2 linked regions of the Arabidopsis thaliana genome follow. The protein of the gene in region 2 interacts with the protein of the main gene of each other region in a biochemical or structural test. Each region holds a gene or a part of one and is shown on either strand. Other genes may lie near its edges.

Evidence for each region. Proteins that work in one complex are often made in the same cells at the same time.
Region 1: the proteins of TRFL9 (region 2) and TRP1 form a complex in vitro, tested with the Arabidopsis thaliana proteins (one study listed by BioGRID).

The regions. Positions count from the first base shown.
Region 1 is NC_003076.8:5,955,112-5,960,735, reverse strand, and holds TRP1 (tryptophan biosynthesis 1), read right to left. Parts: upstream 3,657-5,624; 5' UTR 3,407-3,656; coding exon 3,189-3,406; intron 3,079-3,188; coding exon 2,967-3,078; intron 2,615-2,966; coding exon 2,471-2,614; intron 2,359-2,470; coding exon 2,197-2,358; intron 2,083-2,196; coding exon 1,810-2,082; intron 1,727-1,809; coding exon 1,636-1,726; intron 1,558-1,635; coding exon 1,498-1,557; intron 1,409-1,497; coding exon 1,290-1,408; intron 1,211-1,289; coding exon 1,055-1,210; 3' UTR 666-1,054; downstream 1-665. Other genes in the region: VDD (VERDANDI), read left to right, coding at 43-338, 429-665; AT5G17980 (C2 calcium/lipid-binding plant phosphoribosyltransferase family protein), read right to left, coding at 3,991-5,624.
Region 2 is NC_003074.8:3,981,356-3,987,462, forward strand, and holds TRFL9 (TRF-like 9), read right to left. Parts: upstream 4,271-6,107; 5' UTR 3,928-4,270; intron 3,550-3,927; exon of another isoform or gene 3,513-3,549; 5' UTR 3,494-3,512; coding exon 3,413-3,493; intron 3,341-3,412; coding exon 2,626-3,340; intron 2,535-2,625; coding exon 2,361-2,534; intron 2,198-2,360; coding exon 2,118-2,197; intron 2,016-2,117; coding exon 1,780-2,015; intron 1,671-1,779; coding exon 1,365-1,670; intron 1,271-1,364; coding exon 1,207-1,270; intron 1,121-1,206; coding exon 917-1,120; 3' UTR 525-916; downstream 1-524. Other genes in the region: FDM3 (XH/XS domain-containing protein), read left to right, coding at 1-17. UniProt on the Arabidopsis thaliana protein: Binds specifically to the plant telomeric double-stranded DNA sequences. At least 2 repeats of telomeric sequences are required for binding. Induces DNA bending.

The sequences.
Region 1 (5,624 bases), on a different chromosome or scaffold from region 2:
ACAGTCATTAGTTACTTCTGTGGTTGATTTTGATGCAAACAGGTCGGAACAAGAGAGAAGAGAGGAAGAGCATCTACAAAGATGTGAAGAAGGAAGAAGAGATAGAGTCTTGGTCTGAATCGAGCCATCCTTGTCACAAAACAGCTGAATCTACAAGTGGGAGATTGACGCAGAAACAGGAGCTTAACTTGAGAAAGAAGGAAGCCGATAAAACCGAAAAATCCAAGACGAGTAAGAAGAAGAAGGTGGAAACTGTTAGTAACGACTCTGAAGCCGGTACTTCATCTCTTATTCCAGAATTCAAGCTCACCATAAAGAAATCACACCTTCTGTTCTTGGTAAGATTAAGCAAGACAAGACCAGTGACACACTGTCGAAATGGCTATGTATAAAAGTGTGTATTAATCTAATGAAAATCTGTGATTCAGGGGATCCCAAAGAAATTTGTGGATATGCATATGCCAACTGAGACAACGATGTTCAAGATTCATTATCCGAGAGGAAAGAAGTCATGGGATGTTACATATGTGGTCACTGATGTACAATCAAGATTCTCTGGTGGATGGAGTCGTTTGGCCAAGGAGTTAGGTTTACTGGTCGGAGATGTTTGTACGTTCAAGCTCATCAAACCGACAGAGATGCGTGTGAAAGTCTCCAAAGAATAGACACCATGACGATGATGATATTTTAGGTGTAGTTGCAGAATTAGTGAAGAACTTCGGAACAAGATTATGGTCTGTGATTCAATGTTAGGACTAATTTTATAATTTTGTTTTTCTACTTACTACTTAGGTTTGATTTGTATCCCAATGATGAATCTGAACTCCGTTTGAGTAAAACAGATTTATTCATTTTATTAAAGATTATTGTTGTAGTGTTTACATGATGAATGTGTATAGAGCTCGCTCCGGTCTCTTCTCTTTATTGTTTGACAAAGAAAACTTAAGTTACAAATAACTCCAGCTTCTTCCTTTGGCACATTGCCTCCATCTTCATCTACAATTGCTTGCAAAGGTGATCCGTTGAATACAACAATATCATAAGCCTCTTCTGGTCACTGAGATTTCTGAGCTAAGTTTGAGATGTTTATCCAAGAATCAAGCGTCTTGATAGCTTTCCCAGACGATTGTACTTCACGTGCCACGGTTACTCCTTCAGCTAGCGTTTGAACTCGGTTGCTAACCAGAAGAGCTGCAGCTGCGTTTAGGATCTGAAACAAGATTTTGAAAAAAAAGGATGAACAAATTGCAGAAGTTCAGAGAATGTTGAATCGGCAAATCAAAACATACCAATGAATCCGCAATTGCTCCACTTTCCCCTGAAAGCACACGTCTTAGCACATCCGCATTGTAGTCTGGACCTCCACCTCGCAAATCCTCAAGAGTACAACGAGGAATACCAAAGTCCACTGTCAAAAAGAAATAAGCTTCAATTTCATTAAGCTGCATCTGCAATATTCATTTTAGAGAAGGGATAAAAAGCTAGAGGAAACATTACATGGGTCGAATGAGAATTCTTCGATCTTTTCCGGAGTTACATCATAAACTAGTCCTCCTCCTGTTTTTCGTTAAGCCATGATTGGTTAATAATTGTTCAATAATAAAAGTAATCAATTTTGGGAAGAGATAATCTTACCTAACGGACTCATTTCGTCTAGACCACATGAATGAACCACCAGTGCTCTTTTCATTCCAAATCGTTGCAGTGCCTTTGCCATCTTAACAACCTATGAAACCACACAAGCAAATGGTAAGTAAATGTCTTGTTTTTGTTGATGAACAAACTAATTTCAGCAATAAGTAAATGTACCAGATCTTTGTGGTATACACCAACGACAGCATAAGAAACTCTAGCAGGATTAAGCATAGGTCCCAATATGTTAAAAACAGTTTTAATTTTAAGCTTTTTCCGAACAGGACCAACGATCTTCATAGCTGGATGATACATTGGTGACATCATAAAACCGATCCCCCCTTCTTCAACACATCTTTTAATGCCCTCTGGTCCCAAGTCCAGAACCACTCCTAGTGCCTCTAGTACATCAGCACTTCCACAAGCAGAAGAACTTGAACGATTCCCTTGCTGCAAAATAAGTATCCATTAGTTAGACGACCAGACGAAGATCATTTAGCATTAATGCAGATAGTCAAAATTTAAATATATCGTTTCTTTTAAGGATTTTCTCATTCGTTATACCTTTGCTACTTTTGCACCACAAGCTGCAGCAAGTATTGAAGATCCAGTTGATATATTGACTGTGTTTGCTCCATCACCACCTGTTCCAACTATGTCCACAGCATCAACTAATCCTTCCACTTTCCTGGCATGCTTCATCATTGCCCTAGCTAACCCCACAATCTACCCAATATCCGAATTAAAGTGAACGTTGAGTTAACTTATTGAAGTGCAGTAATATAGGATTATGTATACTTTTTTATTATAAGCCTAGATTGACTTAATGGATACTTACCTCTTCGTATGTCTCTCCTTTAGCTCTCAGAAGAACTAGAAAGGCACTGATCAGCGCCTCGTTTGCCTCATTCAGCAAAAACTCAAGAGATGATTCAGCCTCAGTTTCAGATAGATCAACCCGATCAATCAAGGTTTCAATCAACTGAAAGAAAAACAACAGAACAGAGCAAACGCAGTATGAGAACATAGTAACCCCATGATTTAAATCTCTCTCTTCAAAGCCATTGGAAAATCACCAAAAGTAAAACTCTTTTAAAACCTATAAAGTAGTACACTTTTACTCAAGTCAATAAAACCCATCAAGCAATTAAAATGAAATTCGAAGAACACACAGGGCCAAACATGTTTAGTCAGCATGAAGCCAATAACTCAACCCAACTCAGAAATACAGATACAGATATATAAAAACCCTGAATTGTTCACAAATCAAGAGACTTAGAAACAAGGGATCATCAAACCACAAACTTATCCTGAAAATAGAAATGAAGAGTCACCTGGTTGAAAGATTTAATGGAAGAAGGGCTAGCATTTGCACAAGCAGGTGGCAGAGCTTCAGCTGCACTAAATCCACCGCTCAAACCGAGATTCTGAGAGCAAGCGAAAGAGCTGCAGCAATTCAATGGATCAAGAGCACAATCAAATGACCACAAACAATTTCAAAGGATGTGTTTTTACTCTAATAAGCAGACACCTAAACCCAAAAATCGAGGCTTTACCTGCGACTAAAGGAAGATTGAGCATCCCCACGAATTGGGGAAACAGCTCCGATCGATGAGAATCGTCGCCGACTCAATGTCGGAAAAATTCTAACTCCGGTCAAGTTGCTTCTTCCGCAACTACTGGACGCATCATCTACGGCGTTGAACGAAGTTAAGATCCCTGAAAGCTTGATTCCGGAAACAATGGAGCTCGTCGTCGCCACCGCAATAACCATCACTCGATTGCTCAACCAACACAGTAGAGAAAAACTTGAACGAAGGAGAGATTTCTATGATGGTTCGTTCCTTCCTCTCTAATAAAGCAAAGCGCCTTAAACCAAATCTTAATTAACTTTTAACTTTTGGTCTTTTTGCTTATAAAGGGTTTCCAGTTTAGTACTCAGTATTTTATTTTTTTCTTGAAAAGTGTTTATTTTATTTTATTTTGGGTTTCATATGAATATATTTGTTGATTACTGAATGACTTAATGCTGCTTTGACTAATGGACCTTTGAAATTTCCAAATTGAGTTTGGTTGGTGGTAGTTGGTAATGCTTGGGCAGTGGATAACTCCTTTTGTTAGTCACCAACAACGATTTCCTTGTGTGCTTATTTCCGCACATTTACCACTCTGCTCAAAAAGTAGGTTCATCAATTTTGTCATACCAAACACTTCTTTGTTTTAGACATGGTCAAACACAGCACCTATAATAGGAAATCATATAAAAATCCATTTAGTGGCCCATTATAACCCAATAAGGCCCAACAAGGTTAAACGACCCAAACTATATATACATCCCCTCCAAAAAAAAAAACAATATTACATGAGCCGATCAGATAATGATGGTAGTCGCCGGAAGAAATTTAACACCGGAGAAGGTTTCCGATCACGGAAAATAGGATGCCGGAAGTAATAAAACCCTGACGCCATAGCCACCATCTTCGTCGGCACAAGATACAACACCAACGCCACAAAGAAACACAGCCCCACGAATATACCAGTCGCTCGTGGGTCACGCCACGTCACCAAAGCTTGCATCTTCTCCCCTTGCGCAGCCACTTCACCAAGAATCGTTTGAACTCTAGCTCCGACGTTTCGTAGCTTATCGTACCTCAACCGAACCATCTCCGGTGGTCGGTTGCTCGGTACGACGTCAAACTCCTCGTCGAGCTCGTCTCTATCAGCTGCATCAGCTAACGAGAGTCTTGGATCGAAATGTGGTAGAGCAGCACGTGACCTGAACCTATAATTCCACGCACCAATCACGAACAAGTAAAACGCTAATGTCGGTACGATAAGATCCGGGAACCAAATCAGCATCACGACAAGTGCGTGAACTAGTAAAGTTGATGTCGGATTCTTCCAGAAACGGGTGTCATCAACCCACCGCACCACGTCGACCATTCCGGCGACTACATTCACTATCCGAAGCCAATTTGCTCTGACTTTACGCATACTGAAAGTATGAGTATCGGCGTCGAGCATATACCGTACTATCTCCGGCCTTAAAGGCGGCTCAGATCGTGACAAATGTGCGGCCAAGATCTTCACTGCAGTGTTCCTCAACATATCTTCTTGAAACAAACTCAACGGTTTAATGTGATGCATCAAAGGCAATAACGGTTGAGTATACACGTGTAAGAAATCCAACGGTGGAGCTGTTCTCACGAATCTAACGGCCAATTCTATCTCTCCCAATTTTTTAACGCCGCCGTTAACTAACATCAGTAACGGATACGTATTTCTATACGCTTTACCAGTCTCCAGCGTCGATATACGTATACGTACTTTTCCAATTCTTAGATCTTGACGCGTGGCTTCTTTTCCACCGTCGACTTCGTATACTCCCCAGCTATCGAAGACTCCTATAGTCAAAACCGTACACGGATCGTATACTTTCCACGTGTACTGTTCGTTCCATTTCGGATCTAAAGAATCCGACACGGTTCGGGTACGGACCCATTTAGAACCGTATTTCGCCACCGTGTACGCGTCCGTTGATCCTTTTCCGTTAACCGTCTTCATCGGTAATAGATTTTTGCAACCGATTATACCGAGCTCGACGATTCCCACCGCTGGTTTCCATAACTGCCTCGCCGTAGGTCGGTAATCACTGCACACGTGCGCCGCCTCGTCCATCACGTGATAACCTCCGTCGAAGCAAAGCCTAATGTGAACTCTAGATCTGTTTCCTCTCTTCTCGTCGTTTGGATCTTCCAATCCTAACCATCTCGAAGCAACCAAGCGATCGTCGACGCGTCTCTCGATTGCGCTGAGTGGCACGCGAGCCATTCCGACGGTGACTGGTCCTTTCGATGTTCGATACTCCAACGTGAAAACAAGCTGATCGGAGAAAGGTTCGGCGGCTACGAAGAGTAGATCTTCGTTCCATGACGGAGCTCCGTTACGAGTAACGGCGGATTTGGTTTTCTGAACTTGGGAACCTAACTGAG
Region 2 (6,107 bases):
AGCATCTCAAGTCATAAAGGTTTATATTTGCATTTACCCGGTACACTCAAAAATCCCAGCTCTTTGGAAGTTTGCCTCTTTGCTTACATAGTTGTATTTTCGAATTTTGCTAATCTGAGGTCTGTACTTTGCAAGTTGCAGGAGATGGAAAATAAGTTTAGCGTGTAAAGGATGTCAAAATGCAAGGTTCAACAATTGTCTCTCGTCTTTGATGCAATATATGGGTCTTAGAATTGCGAAGTAGGTGTAAATTAGAGGAGGATGGCGTCACATTGGGACTCGAAGTTGAAACTATGTTTCTACACTTGACGGTTCAACATTGTAGGAAACTAAGTAACAAACATTGTTAGATGATTCTAAACCTTAGAGAAGTTTATGAATTTGTGAAGAAATGAACACTTTGGCTTAGTTAAGAGTCTTTCCACCAATAACAAACACTTAACTGTGTCTAATATTCCAAAATCACAGAGCAGCAGTATTTCTTATCTTTCAAATTGGGTTATTCACATTTTGTCAAAGATATCTGTCACAATATCACTCTCATCTCTCATGTGTTTTATTGAAAAAAAATTAAAAAAATTGAACGAAATAATGAAGAAGGTTTGACCTGTCACTTGTCAGAAAGGATAGAACATAAAAGAATGTATAAAATTACAAGATCCCTTTTTATGGACCGAAATTATTACACAATGTAATCAATGTTGAAAAAACAAAGATAGAACCTAAAAATTTGGTTAGGGACGAATCTCATCCCAGTTGGAGTCATTTACAGATGCCAAAGCAAGGAAAAAAAAAGTGTATGTAGGAGAAAAAAAAAAACGAGAAATAAAGACAATTAAACTTTGCAGAAATTGAGTTGTCCATTTATTGTGTTGTTTGCTTCTGTACACCCACCCACCAATGCGTACCTCCTTTTTTACACTGAAACACCTGATTCAAAAGCTCCACCTCTGTTCATGTCTGGATCTTTGGACGCTCCTCTCGCCTGATGTTTTCCTTGGTGCTGCGACCAATACCCGTATGCCCTCAAGACTCTGTCTAGCAGTTCTTGTGGCACCGGCTCTCCTCTTCGTTGCTGTGGGGATATACTTGCTGTGTGAACTAGCGTCTTCCATTTGTCCTGCATATTCACATGTTCTTGAGATATTAACCTGACTGTAAGACGTGATATGTTCCAGATTACATGTTTGTGTCTGATGTGTTTACCTTCAAGTCCACGTAAGTCCGATGATCTGCATCCTCGAAAGCACGCAATTTTACATCACGCCATCTGTGTGATCAGATATATCGACCATTAGCTTTTGAGCTTTGACATTATCCCACGACCAAACTACATGAGTTATGAAAGAACTAGTGTTATATACCTTCCAGTCCCGAGTTCCTCAACTGCTTGTACAAGAGCTTCTACCTCTGTCACAGAGAAGGGTCTCCTAGTTCTCCTCTGGGCTAGCTCAGTACGCTTAGGTTTCTGGTTCAACGGAACTATGGCAAGCGCCTTGACTTCCAACTCTGGAAGTGGGACAAGCTCTTTTGAATCTGATGAAGGTTCATCAACAGATATGTCACCCTGATATGGAACTAATTCGAGGTTACTGTCCACAATATTTCTTGAATCAATCACGTCATCTGCATGTGGAATTCCAGAATCTAGCATAGGAGACGCCGCAGACCTGGGATGATAATTCAGAACCGCTTTTGCTTAGGAATCTTCAAGAAGAATGAACACCAGTGATATTCAACTAAAGCAGCACAAGGATATGATAGCGAATTTCTTAGTACCGTTCAGACAAACTTGTAGGGTCGGTTGGCACAGCAGGATCTTCAGAACACAAAGGTAGGGGAACTTTGCTGGGACTAGGCTCCAAGGTGAACCCAAGGTTGTCTAGATTTTCATCACATGAGATCCCAGTCTGGGACAGAGTTTTCCTTTCATCTCTAACCTTCTTCCCATGCATTAACACCCCAACACGTATTCCTCCGCTGAGTAAAACACTGACAGCCTCCATCACAGTCCTCTGCAACCAAAAGGGTCAAAGAGCAAAATGGTAATTTGTTAACACCTCAATGTCCACACAAGAGAACCAAACAAATGTGAAGAAATACATATTGGCATATACCTTTAGTGATCCTACTGTTGCAGTTTCTGGAACTTCAATAAAAAGCTCTGGAATCCTAAAGGACTTAATGCTTAGCTTTACTGCACCAGAGATAAAAATACATGAGAACCACATTATCCTGTCTCCGGATAAATGTCTCAGTATCATTTACCATCCAGTCAAGTACCATGGGAGCCTTTTGAGAGGACCACAACAGCTAAGATAAGATAACTGAAGAGTTTTGAGATAGACTACAATAACCACCTGTATCTCCCTTCTTGGGTAACTTGGAAACACTTCCACTACTGAGTCCTCCATCAGAAGTTACGACCGAGCTTCTGTCAGGTGATCTTCTTCTCTTATAAATGATCTCACGCTGCCATGCGTTGTAACCATAACATGATTTTCTTTTGCGATAAAGAGTCTTCACACCCACATCTAGACATCCATGTTTAAAGTAAGAACAGGGTGAATCACAAAAAGAAGAAATGTGTTCAAAGATAAGTGAAGCAGGCTGTGTTATACTTACCAGCTCTACTGTATCCAAAATCTTTTGGAACTTGTTTCCAGTATTTGGACGACATGGACTTTCTTATTCTTCGAATTGTTGGAGACCTATACGACTTAAATTTATTGCTAAGTTTATGGTAACTATAGAATTTTTCATCATCATCTTTTCTACCTAGGTTAGTATGGTTCCCATGTCTAGCATAGGAACCATTAGGGGTCATATCCAAGGTGGATGGTGATTTTAAATCACCACCCACACAGACTGATTTCGGAAACTGCAGACCTAACGCAGTTGCATCCTCTAAGTTGCAAGTATCAGTGACTAAGCCTCCATCACCCACGCGATCGGTTGCTTCTCCTTGCTCGAACCCATTATTTACATTCTTGTTTTCACACCCTACATCCATCAAACCATGAATCTTCTTGTAATCAGACATCGGAGTCCGCTCCAAAACGCCGTCACTATCCGGAAATGAAAAACAACTGTTCACCACACACTTCTCAGTAGAGATATCATAAGTAGGCTTTGACACAGAGTTTCCTTGGTCAGAAGACTCAGATTTAATAGTCTTGCAATTTTCTACTTTCTCTTGCTTAATTTCTTCAAATGCATTAGAAGACGCAGAGGAACTCTCGCTTTCCTGTAGAATCTTTCCAGCCAAAGCTAGTAAGTCAATTGCACAGATCTGAGTGTTATCATCATCATGATCAATCCTCTTGTTTAGAACCTTCCTCTGGAAAAAAAGATTCATCAGAAGGCAAATTCATGACATTGAGCTAACAGATCCAGATGAATCAAAATTTACCCTGCATGAACGAGGAGCTCTGGGAATGTTGGGAAAATCAAATCCCACGGAAAGGCAATCTAACTTTCTCTTGAACACCATCTCTCAAATATGCATATCACTAGCAACACAAAAACAAAACAGAACAGAACAGAACACTGTAAAGAATCAGAAAGTAGCAACAAGAATCATAAACAGTAAACACCAATTTAGATCAGATCAACACGACCAAATCCGAGCCTTTGATGTAAGAAAGACACTGAAACAAGAAATGGATCACGCAAATGGAAAAGCGTTGGTAAAATTGAACAAGACTCAAATGCTAGAAGCTGCTTACAAATTCAATTATAAGATTCGAGACAAGATGAAAAGAAACAGTAACCTGATCAGATCTCGAACAAATTATTTCGACCCGCCAAAGAAATTTAATGGAAATTTGAAAACCGGATCAGAGTCAAAGGATCAAAAACCACCCAAAACCCCAAGAATTTTACAGATCGGTAAGTGAACAAGTCAATTGCGATGAAAAAACTCACCTATCAGCCACCAGTTTCTTGATCACGATCGCGAACCACTTATTATTACAGATCACGCTATCTTAAAACCCAAATTCCCCCATACCCGATTTGTGTGTTTTATGTATATATAAAACAATGTACAAAGGAAAAATTAGAATCGATTTATACAAAAACTCGAGATTCTAAGATTTAAAAGAAATGAAGAATTCTCGAGTTATTTTTTTTTTGTGTGTGTTGCGGTAAGAATCCGTCGTTGTCTTTAGAAAAGAAAGAAGGAAGATGACGTGAAAAGCCCCATTGAAACAGAAACCCCTTTTTTTATAATCATTCTTGTAAATTAAAATAAATTAAAAAAGTTTTTATTGACCACACAAATAACAACGGGTTTGAGATGAGGCAGTTGTTGTAAACCGGTAAACCGGCTATTGACGGTCACCCTTGTAAATTTATGGTAAAACACTAAAACCCCTCTCTCCGGTTAACAGGCTATTGATGGTAACCCTCTCTCTCCGGGAATCATCAGTTCATAACCCCTTAAAGAAGATAGGTTTGTCAGAAGAATCTTTATTTTAGGGATCGGATAAAAACAATACAACAGTGCTGTTTGTGATTGGAGTGGGGTCCTTTTTAATATACTAGTACTACAAAAGCTGTCTTTATCTTCCACGTGGGTAGAGAAAGCCTGTGACAACTCCATTGCTTTGGTAATAACGTCGTCACAAGGTTTTTTAAGTGTTCATTCAACTTGAGTGATAACATGAATTTCTTGATGAGATTACATGTTGAAGCATGTGCTAATGGGGCCAAAATGAACGTGTTATGTGTTTTAAGGTATTTTGTGAATGACAATGTTCGCGCCAATCTTATGGCTATTTTAGTGGGACTAAACTACTAAAGCATATGCTTGGCTAATTAATGTAATGAGAATCGAAATGGGTTGAATCAAACATAAATTTATGGCCGGCTGTTGAATCGAATTGTTTGTTTAATTATGTCCGTCTTGGACTTCTGAGAGTGTCTGTCTACTTCTGTGGCTGGCCTTGGAGACTTGGACCCTTGTAAATTATAACCATTCATGAATATGGGCCGCATGACGATTAGTAAATGGGTCGGATCGGACCATTCTATTGGAAGAGGTACAAGGAAAATGATCAGGCATACTACATACATTCTCCACAAACATGGACTAATCATTCTATGTTCCTTCTCTAATAAAGCTTTCACTGAATTCATGATTAGTATGTAAACCATCGTTGATTACAGTTTTATAATAATTAGACGTTATATATTGGGAGAATGTATGCATGCATGAAATATTTCAAAAATTCATATATAGATCTTGTTGTATCCTAGCTCGTTTCACTTTTAGTTTGTAGTTTGTACTAAACAAATACTGAAATACACATGCATTTCTTTCGCTTTATATAAAAACATATACACATGCTGCATGCACTTCAATCATATTGAAATCTCTAATTGGTACATTTTCGTACGATTTGTTGATATACTGGATTCATAGGTAGGTAAGTGGATTTATTTAAAAAGGCCAAATTTAGAAGAAAAAGAAAAGAAAAGAGAATTAGAAGGCAAGATATATATATATATATATATATCTTGCGCGGTTGCATGGTTAAGCATCAAGGCACAAAGGGACAACAACGACATTCTATAAAGAAAAAAGACGAAGCATCAAAAGGGGTCTACGGAAATTCAACATGGAGTATGGAGCTTAAAGATTTTTTCAATAAACCCATATAGTTTTATTATGCTTTTGTATGTTAGAACCTTGAAAACGTGTGGTGCCAAATAAGGAGAATAGTTTTATAACAGTATTTCTTACTTTAATGTTTATTTAATAAATTTAATTCTGAGTTACTTTGCTAAATTTTTTATTTTATCGAATTTTAAGATGAGCGTGTTAATATAGTTATACAAGTTTTTTCCCTTTCTATTCATTTATGTGACTTTTGTATTCATGAAATTTTTAAGATAGAACTACAATTTGAACGTATTAAGTAAGTGTCACAAGCTATAAAAGTTTGCTTGTGGATTAAAGAATTGTGCGAACATTGATTTAGTCAAATCACCTACCGACACGGTCTTATATTTGAGTCAATTATACATCGTTACTAACCTATTATAGACTATAGAGAGAGAGTCAGATTGATGTTTTTAGTTAGATAGAGCATATTTTTACA